Linked DNA regions of Xenopus tropicalis. The protein of the gene in region 1 interacts with the protein of each later gene in a pairwise test. Links are inferred from orthologs where the notes say so. Each region holds a gene or a part of one and is shown in the gene's direction. Other genes may lie near its edges.

The links.
Region 2: the proteins of itsn1 (region 1) and kif5a interact in a two-hybrid assay, tested with the Homo sapiens proteins (2 studies listed by BioGRID and IntAct). The link is inferred for Xenopus tropicalis from reciprocal best matches to the Homo sapiens genes ITSN1 and KIF5A.
Region 3: the proteins of itsn1 (region 1) and dlgap1 interact in a two-hybrid assay, tested with the Homo sapiens proteins (2 studies listed by BioGRID and IntAct). The link is inferred for Xenopus tropicalis from reciprocal best matches to the Homo sapiens genes ITSN1 and DLGAP1.
Region 4: the proteins of itsn1 (region 1) and snap25 interact in a two-hybrid assay, tested with the Homo sapiens proteins (2 studies listed by BioGRID and IntAct). The link is inferred for Xenopus tropicalis from reciprocal best matches to the Homo sapiens genes ITSN1 and SNAP25.

What each region holds. Positions count from the first base shown.
Region 1 is NC_030678.2:14,137,926-14,142,169, forward strand, and holds the start of itsn1 (intersectin-1), read left to right. Parts: upstream 1-1,444; 5' UTR 1,445-1,678; intron 1,679-4,244. UniProt on the Homo sapiens protein: Adapter protein that provides a link between the endocytic membrane traffic and the actin assembly machinery. Acts as a guanine nucleotide exchange factor (GEF) for CDC42, and thereby stimulates actin nucleation mediated by WASL and the ARP2/3 complex.
Region 2 is NC_030678.2:140,672,474-140,676,669, forward strand, and holds the start of kif5a (kinesin heavy chain), read left to right. Parts: upstream 1-1,383; 5' UTR 1,384-1,546; coding exon 1,547-1,681; intron 1,682-4,196. UniProt on the Homo sapiens protein: Microtubule-dependent motor required for slow axonal transport of neurofilament proteins (NFH, NFM and NFL). Can induce formation of neurite-like membrane protrusions in non-neuronal cells in a ZFYVE27-dependent manner.
Region 3 is NC_030682.2:106,711,744-106,715,694, forward strand, and holds the start of dlgap1 (disks large-associated protein 1), read left to right. Parts: upstream 1-1,138; 5' UTR 1,139-1,168; coding exon 1,169-2,128; intron 2,129-3,951. UniProt on the Homo sapiens protein: Part of the postsynaptic scaffold in neuronal cells.
Region 4 is NC_030681.2:26,669,155-26,673,395, forward strand, and holds the start of snap25 (synaptosomal-associated protein 25), read left to right. Parts: upstream 1-1,428; 5' UTR 1,429-1,496; intron 1,497-4,241.

The sequences.
Region 1 (4,244 bases):
AATGCATTTGCTTTTAAAAAGTGGTCTTTCTGACCCTCGCTATTCCCTCTATTGTTAAGCTGTACCATTAAACAACGTAGGGGTATCCAGGCATTTTCCAGCCAAGAGTCCAATCCCCATAATGCCTATCATGAGTCTGTGATTCTGTACAGGCCTGTTACTCACAGAACACAGCTTTCTTGCCCTGACCTTATAATGTTCACACAGCCAACATCCTTCCACAACGCCTTCATTCCATTATTCAACCTAACACCCCTACGCTATAAGATCCCCCCAATTCTCCCTGCGCCTGGGATCTATGGAACAGAGGAGAATCAGAGCCAGACGGCACAACCCACCCTGACCCTGCTCAGCAGCGCCCCTTCTGCAGAGTCCCCCCGCATCATTGTCATGTGACGCATAGCTACGGCAGCCATCTTAAGGCCTGGCATATTAACCTCAACATCTGTCTTGCCAATCTAACGCATTCTTTCTGTATCCCTTATTTCTGAAGTATTTTTTTTTATTGTACTCTGTATCTTTTTATAAAAACTGTGTTGTGATTCATGATTTTATGTTTTTATGTTCTGTGAAACAAATGTTAATTATGAATTTACTATGAACTTGGTTTCAATAAAGCTCTTTGAAACCTTATTGCTGAAGTATTGCTTTCATAGTCAGTGCAAAGCTCCTGAGTGAAGGGTAAAAATGCAAAATGTCTTGGGCCCCTTTAGGGCAAAGACACACGGAGCTACTAGTAGCAGCTACTTGTCACGGCTACTAAAACAGACAATGCTGATCATTTACTGATAATTGTCTCTACATGTGTTTTAGCAGAGGCAATTCTCAGTATTGTCTATGGCAGGGTATTTTCTGGAGTTTAGTAGCTGCTACTAAGTATCTCCGTGTGTCTTTACCCTTATCTGTGTCTGAGCAAAGTGGTTTACATAAATGAATCAATCGCACCCTGCATAATCCACAGTTGCTCAACTAAAGAATAGGTAATATGTATCTATAGCATAAATAAATTTGAAGCAACTGGACTTGTTTAGTTCTCAGTTGCTTCAAATTTATTTATACTAGATATACCATGACCTGGATGAATGAAAATCTTCATAGACATGTATCTATAGCCTTCCCGAGGCTGGAAGCTCCTTATAACGTCCTTTCTGCCCAACCCTATCTCTGGATTAATGTTTCCAATCTGTCTTTGTCACATGCTATGCTTTACCCCTCACATAAAGGTTTAAGTGTTAGCGCCCTCAAGGCTAATGGCCGCCGTAGACACCAGCGGTGTGAGTCATGTGAGGAGTTCGCTGGCGTGATGACGACACCACACCCATTGAATGGCAGGGAGAAAAAGAACGCGGCATACTATTGGTTGAAGCTACAGAATAGGCGTGTCTTTCCTTGTTTTTGATTGGGCCGGCACCGCGTGACGTCAGAAAGCGGGTTGGTGGTGTGGGTGCGTAGTATTGGTGGGAGGGGACGGCGGTGCGGGGTGAGGGGATCCGCACTGTACTACAGGCACAAGGGGAGAGTCGTACGGACACGGGCATTGGGAGAGTAGTAAGGGGAGGAGGGGCGCTGAAGCAGAGGGCATGTTGCCATACAGCCGAGCTGTCTGAGAGGGGAGCCGTATTGGACATAGCCGGTGCTAATCCCTGTGGCAGAGGAGAGGGTGGAGGACCGCTATGAGGTGAGAGCTGTGCCGGGGCGCATTATTATCACCATTAAATATGATTAATGCTTTGCCTGGATTATGTGCGGGGTGGAACAGCTGCAGCCACCAATGGCTCGGCAAATGGCTGAGGGATATGGAGTTGGGCGGCCAACATGGGATTTGGGGATTCAGTTAATTACATGGCAATGCTTGCAATTCTGTATGTCAGTGATTTCCCCATGCTGATGTCCTGCAATGGAATAAACCAACATAGGGGAGCACTCTAGGGAGACAAGCAGTGCTGGCTGGGGGGCTCCACCCAAGGGAGAATGGCATAGCCATCTACCAATTCATTAATACAATGTATCTGCTACCAACAGCAGCATCCTTCTGTCTATATGCCTTGTGTTTCTGACTCCTGAAACAATGTAGCAGAACCCTGGGCAGATGTGACATTGCAACACTGTTTCACAAGTCAAGGCTAAACACATAAATGTTGCCTGAAAAGCAATTACATTTACTCAAAACTTTGAGCTTTAACATAAAGTGGAAACCTACTTACAACTGCATATTCTTCAACTAATAATAACTACAAAAGATATAAACACATTTTATTGACCCAAGGTCCTTGTAATGCTTCTATAGGGGGCCAGTACATTGACTTACATAGGCATTGAGACCCCATGGTTTTCTTTGTATATATAAACCGTCATATAGAGGGGCACCTCTCTGAACAAATATGGCTTACTGCTATGTATGTATGTATACAGGATCAGGGCAATAGGCATTATAGCTAAAAATATGTGTTTCCTAAATTTCAGTTTGTCATTATTATTTGGATTTTAGATGGAATTTAAATTAAGTAGCAGTGCCATATTTATCATGAATTGTAATGTAAAAATGATCTATATCTATCTATCCTTCCTCCTGGTAAGGGCGGTCCAATTTCTGTTTGAAGTGCGTTTCCCAGGTATTCATTTTTTAGGAATCTGTTGCCTTCTAAGGTGTCATTTAGTCTCAGCACTTTGATTTTCAGCCAATGTACAGGTATGGGATCCCTTATCCGGAAACCTGTTATCCAGAAAGTTCCAAATTATGGAAAGGCCATTGCCCATATACTCCATTATAAACAAATAATTCTAATTTTTATAAATGATTTCCCTTTTCTCTGTAATAATAAAACAGTACCTGTACTTGATCCCAACTAAGATATATTTACCCCTTATTGGGGGCAGAACAGCCCTATTGGGTTTATTTAATGGTTAAATGATTCCCTTTTCTCTGTAATAATAAAACAGTACCTGTACTTGATCCCAACTAAGATATAATTACCCCTTATTGGGGGCAGAACAGCCCTATTGGGTTTATTTAATGGTTAAATGATTCCCTTTTCTCTGTAATAATAAAACAGTACCTGTACTTGATCCCAACTAAGATATAATTACCCCTTATTGGGGCAGAACAGCCCTATTGGGTTTATTTAATGGTTAAATGATTCCCTTTTCTCTGTAATAATAAAACAGTACCTGTACTTGATCCCAACTAAGATATAATTACCCCTTATTGGGGGCAGAACAGCCCTATTGGGTTTATTTAATGGTTAAATGATTCCCTTTTCTCTGTAATAATAAAACAGTACCTGTACTTGATCCCAACTAAGATATATTTACCCCTTATTGAGGCAGAACAGCCCTATTGGGTTTATTTAATGGTTAAATGATTCCCTTTTCTCTGTAATAATAAAACAGTACCTGTACTTGATCCCAACTAAGATATAATTACCCCTTATTGGGGCAGAACAGCCCTATTGGGTTTATTCAATATTTAAATGATGTTTAGGAGATTTAAGTTACGGAGATCCAAATTATGGAAAGATCCCTTATCCGCAAAACCCCAGGTCCTGAGCATTCTGGATAGCAGGTCCCATACCTGTACTTGCACCTAGATGGTTAGCCCTAGGGGAATTTCTGTGCTCTAGAGTGTAAGCTCTTGTGAGCAGGTTGGGGGGCACTTGTGCTAGTTTTTCCTCACTGTTGTGGAAGCTCTAATGTTTGATAAATGATGAAAAGGCTTGGCTATATGGGAAGTCTCACCCCCTTACACAGTGACCCCACCCCCCCATGTTTGTAGGTCACCGCTCCCATCACAGCTTTGGCAGGTTTTTATATTGCCTCCTTCCTAGTGATAACGTGCAGCGCTGGATTAGGAGACATGACGCAAGCAGCTAATGTTTCAGAGCAATCGTGGTATCTGGGCTTCGTACACTTTCTCATTCTCCCTATGAAGGGATCCTCTGTGAGGAACGACCCACCCTATTCTGGCTTGTACTCCTATTCATTCATTGCTTGTCCTTTCATTGCTGTTGGCTGTGCTGAGTAATTTGGTGTACTACCAACATTAGAGATCATTGTACGGTCGTATTTCGAAATAGTCTCGCTACTAACCATTCGTGTTCCGACCTTTTGCCAATCGTCAGGGACAGATAAAAACATGTAAGTTGCATCCTGTTATTAGAGTGTGATGGGTTTTTCCTGTTTTTAGAATGTGATGAGTTTTTACTTCAGCTGGTTATCGCTTTAGATACCCGCAGTCTGGGACAGAT
Region 2 (4,196 bases), about 130 Mb from region 1:
CTTTGTGTCCTTGAAATGCCAAGGTCTTTTAAATCTCAGTCCAGGCCTGCTACAAATGCACAGTTTAAAGCAGTAAGTGTTGCCCAAACCTAATGATACCCACAACTAAAAAAAGAATATGCCTAGAGTGATGTAAACTGCTGTAAGTACCTTGCTGGGCATCTTGGTATAACAGAAGGATGAATGGACGGTGCAAGGTACTGGAAACCATTGCCTATTTTTCATGTAGTACAGCAAATTAGGCAGTAATGGGGATTGGGGATGGGGTGTTTTGGGATGGGGGGCCTCTGCAGGGGTTCTATCATGAAAAGATGCCTTATTTTGTCCTTTAATATTTCAGTGGTATGATGATTATTAACACAAGGCTTAAAGAACAAAAAAAGAATGACCTACAACTTCTCAGTCAAAGCCTTGATCTCATTACAACTGAGAATATGTTATGATATGGTGCATGGGGAGGGGTAAGGAATGCATTTGCTATAACAATTTCATTTCAGATTTAACTATTTATTCTCTGTGCTAAAACGGTTCCAAAACAGAAAATATTTGTCCATCTTCCCACATGCACTTTGCATGGGTGAGCAAGGATCTTGACAAGTGATAGTGCTCAGTGCTGTAAGGGGGCCATATTTACTATATATGCACTTGTGGGCCTGTGCCTAGGGTGGTAGCTTTAGGTTGGGGGGTGGTCCTTGGGTGCTTATACGTTAAAATAACATATCTGGAAAAAAACCTTTTCTGCTGCTGCGGGATACTTGCAGATTAATCCTGGCAGCAGAGTGGGCCATAGGGGGTACATTAAAAAAAAAAAAAAAAAATATATATATATATATATTATATTTCAGTTTTGGGAACAGATGTCACTAACATCATTAGGAAAAAGTGACCTTTTAACTCCAGATTAAGAAAAAAAAGAACCAAATGGTTTTATGACTCTAATGACACTGATGCTGGCTCCTATAAAAAAAAAAGGTGCATGTCTGTGCCTGGGTGGGTAAATATACAATGCCCAGCTGAGGTTATTCTTGTAGATGGGAAATAAACAGAGGCGTGCATGCTGATTTCCCATCAGTGCCGAGACAGCCATCGACCAATCAGTAAAGTGCTTATTTACAGACTCCCAGGCTCCTGTACTGGTCCTGCTGCAATTTCCACCTTAAGAGAGAACAGACCCCCTTAAGGGCTGCTCAGACGTAGTGAATGATTAAGCAGCGTTAGCAGAGGCTGCAGCACTGACTCCGGGAAAGCTCTGCTGGTCACATCACTGCAGAACCATCCTGAGCAGCAGCAGCAGCAGCAGCGCGTCCTCCATCTCTAGCGAGGCACAGGGGGCTCAGCACAGGGGGCTCAGCACTATCAGTAAGGCAGGCTGCATGCAGAGGAGCCCATTGTACCGGCTGGACACCCTAGCCAGCCTCTTGCATCTGCACCTTGGGAATAGTCAGAGCCTCGCCTGATCTCCATCAGTGACCGGCCGAGCATTGCCAGCAGCATCACCCACAGCTCTAACACATTCCCTGCCGCACAGCTTCCCTGCCCCCCCATCATGGCTGATAACAGCATTAACACTGAGTGCAGCATCAAGGTCCTGTGCAGGTTTCGGCCCCTGAACCAGTCGGAGGTGCAGAGAGGAGACAAATTCCTGCCCATATTCCAAGGCGGGGACACTGTCATCGTTGGGGTAAGTGTTTGTGCCTGTGTATTACTGAGCCCAGCCTCATACTGATTGGCTGATTGCACGCAAGCATCGGATCGTCTCTATTCTACATCGGGGGGCCACACGAACCCCGCTATGGGGGATGGACATGTCTGCACCCTACACCCCCATCTGTGTATTCTATAAGGCACAATGTTCGGGGCATTCCTGCTCCATTCAGCCGCTTGTACAGTGGAACCCACGGCCCCTCCCTGGAGCAGGTTGCTGGGTGTCCATTGTGGGTAGGGTGTGGCAAGGCATCCTGGCTTTACGGCTGTGTTCCTAGTACAGTTGGGGCTGGCTCCGCACAATCTTATCCCCCCCTCCCTTTAGGGGGGCTGCATTGCGCTATTGCTATGCCTCATCTCATTGGTCCCTTGTAAACCATCTGCTTGCTCCCCATTATAAATAAACATGGTTCTACTTATTTGCCTTCTTAGATTTTAAAGACCCCTATTTATGTATAATAAGCAGTGTGCGATGGACTGATCCTTTGTATTGTGTTGTGCTATAACATCTAATTGTTTATTGCATTTAAGAAGTCACCACTCCCCTCAATGGCAGTGCCAAAGTTTCACCTTACTGATTGGATTATATTGCACATATTTATCATTCAGTATGTCTCTTGCCTCTCACTTCTGTCCTTCTATCTGTTCCTCTATCTATCATCTATCATCTATCATCTATCTATCTATCTATCTATCTATCATCTATCTATCTATCTATCTATCTATCATCCATCCATCTATCAATCTATCATCTGTTATCTATCCTTCTGTGTATCTATCTGCCTGTCTATCTACCTATTATCTATCTATCTATCTATCTATCTATCATCTATCGACCTATCTATATATTTATCCCTCTGTGTATCTATCTGTCTGCCTATCTATCTATCTATCTATCTATCTATCTATCTATCTATCTATCTATCATCTATCTATCAATCTATTTATCTATCTATCATCAATCATCTATCTATCCCTCTGTGTATCTGTCTGCCTATCTATCTATCTATCTATCTATCTATCCATTATCTATCTATCTATCTATCTATCTATCTATCTATCTATCTATCATCTATCGACCTATCTATATATTTATCCCTCTGTGTATCTATCTGTCTGCCTATCTATCTATCTATCTATCTATCTATCTATCTATCATCTATCTATCATCTATCTATCTATCTATCTATCTATCTATCATCATCATCTATCTATCATCTATCTATCTATCTATCTATCTATCTATCTATCTATCATCTATCATCCATCTATCAATCTATCATCTGTTATCTATCCTTCTGTGTATCTATCTGCCTGTCTATCTACCTATTATCTATCTATCTATCTATCTATCTATCTATCTATCTATCTATCTATCTATATAACTAGTATCTATCTATCTATCATCTATCCTTCATCCATCCATCATATCTGTTCCATATATCTGTTCTGTTTATCTCCCTCTCTGTCTCGTCATCTTTCTATCTCTGCTTTCTTTTTTAACTCTTAACATCTTCCTATTCTCAAAATATTGTTAAAAGTATTTCATTTATAGTTCTTATTATATCTTAGCTCTGTCGTCTGATGTTTGTTTGTAGTTTTCTTCTTACTTGCTACAGCTTTCTGTCAGTGTGCTTGGAATCCATATTGACATTCGTGACCTCATATAATGTATGTGATGTTGTCATCACTGCTGGTTCCTTGTTGTCTGCACCTTCAATCTGCCTGCACCATCCTATACACTAAATAGCAAAAATGTGTTTTGCAGTGGTATCAGTTTAGTAAAGCCAAATATATATATAGTAATGTTAAGGTTCAGTGGTTTGGTCTAATTATTTGGTGACACAAACAATTTATGGATTTGTCAATACCCTGCCCCTGATGATCTCATTTATTAGATAAGAAAAGGTGACGTGGCCTTTCCAAGGTCACAAGAACAAGCCATTTGGATATCAGAAAAATCCATTTTTAGAACAGCCCTCAGTTTGCTTTCTCCTGTTTTAAAACACAAACATATATCATGTCTATGCAGCATGAATCAAAATATTGTATATTTTACACTGTTCACATTAACCTTATCCTGTGTTATCGCATGTGACTGTAGTACAGTGTCAGGAAAGAGAAGTAAATAGGGGCTGGAGACATTATACAGAATCCAATGAAAGTAGCCATACTTAGTACTTATTTGGGCATCACAGAACCATGTATGTATATACTGGATATGGCATTACTGTCTGTGCCAGCATGGAGCAGTATGTTTCCTGTGTGTTGGACAGGGCTCTCTTCACATCTTGTATGAATTATTGGTTGTTTGTATGTAATTCTGTATGGTCAATGTGTACACCCATTTATTGTACAGCACTGTGGAATATGTTGGCCCTTTATAAATACATGTTAATAATAATGAGGAGTAATGTAAGGCTCACAAGTAAATGCTTCTCCCCAGAAAGGGTTCATATAATCCCCACCATATTGCAGAGAGTACTATAGAG
Region 3 (3,951 bases), on another chromosome or scaffold:
TTCCCTCTTTGATAAATATGACCCAATGAGTCTGAGCTATTAAACAGTGTACTAAAGAATGAGTTTTGTTTTGAATCAGCTTATCTGCAACATGGAGCTTTGCTTATCTGCATCATTTTAGCCTACAGCTGGATCATTACAAGTGTGAAAGGTTTTTTCCCTTTGTTTTTTTTTCTATTTTTGGGGGGGAGAGGGGGCATAGTCAAGTACAGTAATAGTTCAATTAATTTGCAAGTTAAGTTTCAAATTCAAAATCCATAATAATTATCTTATTTTATAAAAAAGAATGTAAACTAAACTGCAGTTGCACGTCTGTATCTACAGCAATTATGCAGAAATATCTGCTTTTTGTTCTTTGATATCTGCTACTGTATATATTGCTATATATAGATAACAATTGTATGCATATTTATATAGAACTGCAAATATCTGAATGACACTTGGCATGCACAGCTAAAGGAATGATATTAAAAATAATTGTGTGTATATATATTATATATATATATAAGGTCATGCTCTGCACTAAATTTTAAACCATTAAGTGCACTGAGGATGTGATCACAAAATTCATATAGACAGATATTATTGTAGCGCCCATCCTTCCCAGCTACAGTCAGGTGATCCCAATGGTGGCCAATAAAAGAGCAACTATTTAGAAGTTTTTTCCTTGAAAGCAAGCAACTTGCATGTAAAACTCTGTGTAAAATGTATAATGAAGCCATAGAATTCTTAATGAATCAGGTGAAAGTGAGTGTAGGACTGGCCAGACCAGGGATGACTTTGACAGAGTTGACAGCTTGAATATTTTACAGTTAATGGACTAACAATCCCTTTTTTGTTTAAAGAGAAGGTAATTTCTTCAGAATGTAGTATATGTATATACAGTATATAGATAATAGGTAAGTATTGAGGACCTGTTGTTTCTGTCTATATGAACTTTGTGGTCACAGCTTCATTGGACCTGCTTAATGCTTTAATATTTAGTGGGGAGCACAAGTTCCCCTTTTTTGCTAATATAAAATAGCAATATTGTAATATATATGTATTATAAAATCTGTTAAATAGTCAGAATTGCTCATTTGTTTCTTATTTTTCAGGAATAAAGTAAAGTTCTGCTCATCAACCAACATCAATAGTCAATGACTTAGCAGTATTCTTAAAAACAACAATGAAGGGATTATCGAGCAGCCGCAGCCATCATCATGGGGTTGTATGTGATTCAGTATGTGAAACTCTGCCTCATCACACAGATAGAAAGCCATATTTGCTGAATCCCGTGGATCCTCACCCTGCAGATCACCCATACTATGCTCAAAGGAACTCCTATCCAGTAGATCATATGATATCCTATGGGGACCAGATTGCCAGCAGTACATTTCCCAGAAGACATTATAGTTCCCACCATGACATTAAAGATGATTGTGCTCTAGTTCCCCATGGATCAGTTGGAAAAGGCAACCGCCTTCCTTCATCTCTCTTGGATCAGTTTGAAAGACAAATTCCCATTAATCGTGATGGGTATCATACGTTGCAATACAAAAGAAGTGCAGTTGAACACCGCAGTGATAGTCCTGGGAGGATCCGCCATTTAGTCCATTCAGTTCAAAGACTCTTCACTAAATCCCATTCCCTTGAGGGTCCAATGAAAGGAAATGCCAATGGAAACAAAGCTAATTCAGATGAAATGCAGACTGTGAGATATGGAAAACGTAGTAAGAGCAAAGAAAGGAGAGCAGAAGTAAAACCTAGGGCTAATATACAAGGATGGTGGGGGTCACAGGATAACTTAGACAATGATGTTTGCATCTACCACGGTCCATCTACTGTCATGACTATGGGGAGATGCCCTGATCGTTCCACTTCCCAGTATTTTATGGAAGCATACAATACAATTAACGATCATGCATTAAAGTCATCACGAAGCAATAATGATGTGAAATGCAACACTTGTACGAATCTACCTGTGAGTTTGGATAGTCAGATGTTAAAGAAAAGTTCTTGGGCATCTTCACTAACAGTAAGCAGGGCACGGGAGGTCTATCAGAAACCTGCTATAAATATGGACCAAGCTCTAGTTAAATCTGAATCAATGACTCAACCACAAGAGCGACCATGTCAGTACCTGCAGGTAGGAGCTCCTGTTTCTTGGCTTGTTTTTATTTGATTGGTTGTCTTTTGCCCAGGTTTTATAACAAAATGGAGAAACTGAATTCTCTTAGGGCTGCTGCCCAAATTGAATTTATTATAATCCACACCTACTAATTACCAATGGTTTTTTTTATCTCAGGACTATTGAGACAATTTAGGGAATTTAGCTCTTAGAGTATAGCTTTTAAAATGTGTTAAGACCCAGGTGTTCTGTGCGTTATACCCAAGTGACCTAGTCTATCTGCTCTTTTGCCAAACACATGTAATGGTAGTATTTCAGCAGTCAGCTAAAAGACTAAATCACTGGGGACAAATGTCGACTGAGCTGCCAACAAACTCAGGGACTAAATAGTGTAATCATTTGCATAACTTAAATAAATCCTTTTATTCCTAAACAGATGTTTATATGGCAGCAAAGACATTTTAGAGGCCCCTGCTGGAATGCTAAAAAGACACAATTCATAGTTTAATCCATGGTGTACCAAAATAGGATAGGGTCAGTGTTACAGAGGATTTTATGCTTAACTGCCTATGTAAACTGAAACATAAAATGGACCCACAAATTGGATATAGGTAGGCACCCCACAAAATCCACCCTACTCCAGGCTTGTGATAACAAAGTATATTTATTCTGTGTATTTCAACATAAGCTCAGCCCTATGGATTTCATGCTACACATAGCACTTTCTTATAGCAATAGTAATTGCTATGCATAGCATAAAATAATACATGCACCTCACCTCCATACCTGTTCCCAGATGTCACTTTAAAAACTTGGTAACCTTACCCGATGTACTACTTGAGCTGTGGGTTCATATTGAATCCTAGTGGAGAAAATTAACCATTTGATTGTAGGGTAAATGCAATATAAACAAATGAGTCATAAACCAATTTTTCTTGCCATGGATTTTTCTGGCCTATTATAAATCAAAGCAAACCTAGAGAAGCTAGAAGCATAGGAAATGCTTTTTCTGCTGATTCTTTTTGTTCCCAGAAAGAATCAGTGTTCCTGTGTTGATGTCTCTGCAATTTACTGGAATTGCTGCTACAAGCCAAGACGTTAGGCTGACTGGCTATAGTATATTCAGCTGTGGTTAACCTAAACTGTAGGATCTACTGAAGAACAAGAGTTACCCAGCTCACTAATTTGTGCCCCAGGCTGGGCAAATGCAGAACGGGATTGACCAATGCAAATCCCAGCACAATAAGCCTGTTTCTATCTAAAGTAGACATTTGTTATCCCAGGGATATTAGTTGTTTTAAGAATCAGCAGCAAACAAAATATGAGTGTTTTAAAACAATCAAAATATAATGTACTGTGGCCCTGCACTGGTAACATGGGTGTGTTTGCCTAATAAACACTACTATAGTTTATATAAATACCCAGCTGTGTAGCCATGGGGGCAGCCATTCAAGCTTGAAAAAAAGCAGATAAGGCAAAGGTTACATAGCAGTTAACAGATGGGCTCTATAGAATACAATGGTATTGTATCTATTACCTGCAATGTAACCTGTGCCTTTTCTCCTTTTTTCCAGCTTGAATGGCTGCCCCCATGGCTACACAGCTGTGTATTTACTGTATATAAATTATAGTAACATTTATAAAGCAAAAATACAACTTTTACCTGTGTACAGCAACACTACACTAGTGGACTCATTTACTAACCATCGATATTTAATTTTAAACTTTTCGAAATTTTTTCGAAAAAGTTGCAGAGAAAAAACGCTGCAACTTTTCCAAGATTTACTATGTATTTAAACTGCTAAAAATCTGAATTTGACAATTTGCCAGATTAAACTTGG
Region 4 (4,241 bases), on another chromosome or scaffold:
GGCAGGTTCTAATTATTAACGTATGTGCGTATGTGCCATTCGGGAAGGGATTGGAAACAATGGGTACCCTCCTCCCCCTCAGTTCCGCTACAGGATTATAAAACAACTAAGGAAATGTTTCATTTTTTTTTAATTTAAAGGGATTCTGTCATGATTTTTATGGGGTACTTTCTAAATTACACAGTTTACATAGCTAATAATTCACTCCACCATTTAAAATTTTATTCTTGAACCAACAAATGTATTTTTTTCAGCTGTAATATTGGTGTGTAGGCGCCATCTCAGTGCAGAGAGTCTGAGCTTTCAGATGTAGCCAGCGCTACACATTATAACTGCTTTCAGGTAACCTATTGTTTCTCCTACTCCCATGTAACTGGAGGAGTCCCAAGCCGGACTTGGATTCCTTACTATTGAGTGCTATTCTGATACCGGGAGCTGCTATCTTGTTCCCTTCCCATTGTTCTGCTGATCGGCTTCGGGGGGGGGGGATATCACTCCAACTTGGGGCGCAGCAGTAAAGTGTGACTGAAGTTTATCAGAGCACAGGTCACATGGCTGTGGCACCCTGGGAAATGAAGAATATGGCTAGCCCAATGTGAAATTTCAAAATGAAATATAAAAAAATATGTGTTTTTGAAAAATGGATTTCAATGCAGGATCCTGCTGGAGAAGCTAATGCTTTTTTTAAAACAACATGTTTTCCCATGACTGTATTCCTTAATATAGGTACCTGTGAGATGCCCCCCTGACGCTGCAGCCCTAGGCAAGAGCCCTTGGGTGCCTATATGATCAGTACAGCCCTTCCCACTTGAAATTAGTCTGAAGATCTAAACCTAAAAGGTAACTAAAGCTCAGCAAGTAATTTGGCTAGAAATGCTAGAACCTGTTATAAGTGATGACTAAACCCAGTGTTTATACCTGCATCCCCCCCCCCCCCCCCCCATTCAGTCGCAGCATCCTAGGAAATCTCTTATAGCGCCAGTATAGCCAGGCTGCCCACGTAGGTTTCCCATATAAGGAGCACCCACCAGAGAGGGATATCCCTTTGCACCACCCCTTTGGCGAAAAGAAATCCGTGCTGCATTAGCCCAGAGCAAGGCACCCAGCCGCACCCCCACCCTCACATTGTACAGCCAATCTATCCCGCAGCTCATTAGTCGCAAAGAATCCATCTTGGAGCCGTTATACGGCAGCATTGTCAGGGAGGGGGCGATGCGCGAAAATCAAGGCGCATATATTAAAATGCGAAGGATTGCAGCACTGTAAGGCAGACGATGACTCAAGCTCCCCCAGCCCGATCCCTCCGCCCCATGATAGATGTCTATTAAAAGCTGCTGACGTCAAGAAGGACGGCCATCTTTGATGAGGGCAGAGCTCAGTTCCATTGAAGAAGACGACTTGAGGAGGTCAGGAACGGTGGTTCTTACCTCCCTGCAAATACTGCCTTCAAATAAGGTTGTAGAGTAGCCTTAGAGTCTGGTTACGCCCTACTCACGGTAAGACTACCACTGCTTGTCGCTTCTACGTTTTCCTATTGCATTACTATTTATCCAACCTTTAGCCCAAGATTGCGATTGTTGTATGTGTCTACAAATCAGGTCTGGGGCTGTCAGTCGAATGGAAGGCGGCGTTTTTTTTTTTGTTATTTTTAATCTCGCTTTTGAACAAATTTATTTTCGTGTTGCACAGGCTGCAAGGGATTTAATCATCCTTGGCGTTTGTCGCAAGGAAATCGGGCTTTTCCGCGTCCCTTTGGGCACAGCGCTCGGCTCTGTAGGAATAGACGTGAGAGCAGCCCCATAGACTGTGCTTGTGGGCGGTTTCAGCACCGCAGCTCGGCGGACAGCGCTCTACTGCAGAGTGAGTGCAGCAAAAACGCCCGCTCCCTGCCGCAGCGTCTGGCACCGACACGCTGTACTGTAGGGAAGGGATTTACTCGCCTCCAGCCTATACCTTACCCCACAGCAGATTTGTGGGCTTCTGGCTGCGATTATTATGATCAGATAGTGCCAGGGGCACTGCTAACATTAGCTGCCATACTTTATAGAATGTATACGCGTTCCTGACCTCCAACAAGGTGTAGTTAGATACTGGATAGATGGGTACATGCTAGATAGATAGATCAATGACAGATAGATATAGTGTATATGTATCTGATATGTCCAAACAGCTGTTGTTGAACTACAACTTACTCTGAAACTCCCAACAGCCTTGTAACTTCACAACAGCATGTTGGGGGCATAGGTTGCATATCTCATGTGTGGGATATAAAGGTGTGCAGTGTATGTTCGCATGTTTCATATTAAATTCATATGTAAAGGTATATATTTTTATATGAAGAGCTTAGAACTTCAAAGACTAATGGGGGGGTGGGAATGGTGACACGTCCAGACAGTTCTGCGTACTTGCGTCAAAAGGCAGGCTTTGAAGCTGTTAGATTTACGTGCAGGGGCATTAGTAATTACTGCTGGTTTTGTTACCCACTAGAGAGAAAGCGAGGGGGAGGGGATCTGCATTCTAGCTGAAGAAGGGAGGGAGGCAGGGCACTGCTAGACTTACATCCCTAGTGGCAGAGGAACACATTCAGGGCTGCTGGAATTGTTTGTAGAGCTGCTTCACCTTTACACAGACATTGTAGCTGCTCAGATGGGCGGCAGGGGACTTCTACAGGCAAAACTAACCTGCGCCCTAAGAGAATATTTATCAGAAGCAATTGCACTGCAGTTATTAGCTTGTTTGTGTCTTATACCCATCTCATTTCACTGATAAATAAGATATGTATTACTTGGTCACATGATCAGTGATCAATCAATGCATCTGACAGTGAAACCCAGTAATGATCTATTTTGCAGCAGATTGCCACCTGTCCCTGATAGTAATATTATAGCAAATGGTGCAGTTTCATCATGCAAAGCGATGTGTTGTGGAATGACTGTAAAACAGAGAGACCCCACCCCAATGCACCTTTTCAGCCAGCTCCCAAGGACTGAGTTGGGCACTGCTGTAGCACAGACCATGGCAGCACGTAGCAAGGGAAAAATACAAATAATGTTGGATTTGGTTGAACTGCTATTACAGTACATTTGGATATCTGGTTACGGGTATCTTGCATTGCAAGAACAAAACTCCTAGATTGGTCTATATCTCGTGTTCTATCAGGATAAAGGCTATTACAATGACATTTGTATACCTGTTAAAAGTGTATATATACTGTATATTTAATTCTATGCTCTTCACTTGTTTTATTAACACCTCTGTACTGCAGGTTTGTTTAGACTGTCGGATATTCATTTGCTGATAAATACAGCTGAATACGTTAATGTTAGTGAGTTGAGTAGAACGTAGCTGTAGCATAATCATATAAATTATTGACCTGTAAATGAAGTATATTACAATAGATTCTCCCATTCCACTCATTAATCAAAGGGCGCTCATGTGTTTACATACATAAAACATGATGCAAAGGAAACAGATGGCATTTGTGTACATGGAAGTCCCTTTAATGTAGAGGTTATTCAGAATCAGAATTTGGAATTGGATTTTTGATGCATCTCTGGAGATTGCGAGGCAGGCTGCATTTCTTTTTTTTTTTTTACAACGCAGGAAATGCGTACTGAGGAAAACAGATAGAGGTGCTATATCAGGGGATTACTGTGGATGAGTCCTCTTGTTCAGATCAGTAGGCCAACAACCTGTACAATATCCTGCTTTGAGACTGTCTGGCTAAATAAATGAAGTGACAAATGTGGCATAAACCTCTCCTAATGTCATATAGTGATCTGTATAATATATCATTTGACTATGAGACAGAGCCTTTTACATTCATTAATTTGCCCTATTATCATAGGCACATTTTGGTTAATGCAGGATATAAAGTAATACGTATACATTTGTGTATAATGATTGTTATAGTGCTTCTTATTAATGTAAGCAACTGAAACCCCAGTCCCTCTTTTGCAAACTGCGTCACTGGAACAGCTATTTACAAAAAAACAGGCCTATTGATTCATGGATTCTTGTATTGCAGTATAGTATGGCAGCGCTCCTTTAATACAGCATTGCAGTGAATTTTTGAGCACTGTAACTAATTTTTAATAGTCGGAAAAGTAATGGCTGTTATTTCGCACATAACCACGTTCATGTAATTGGTACATTATTATATGCATTGCCTTTTAGTAATAGAGCTAGGGAAGCAAAGTCAACACAAACCGACAACATTGCATTCACCAACACACTTTATT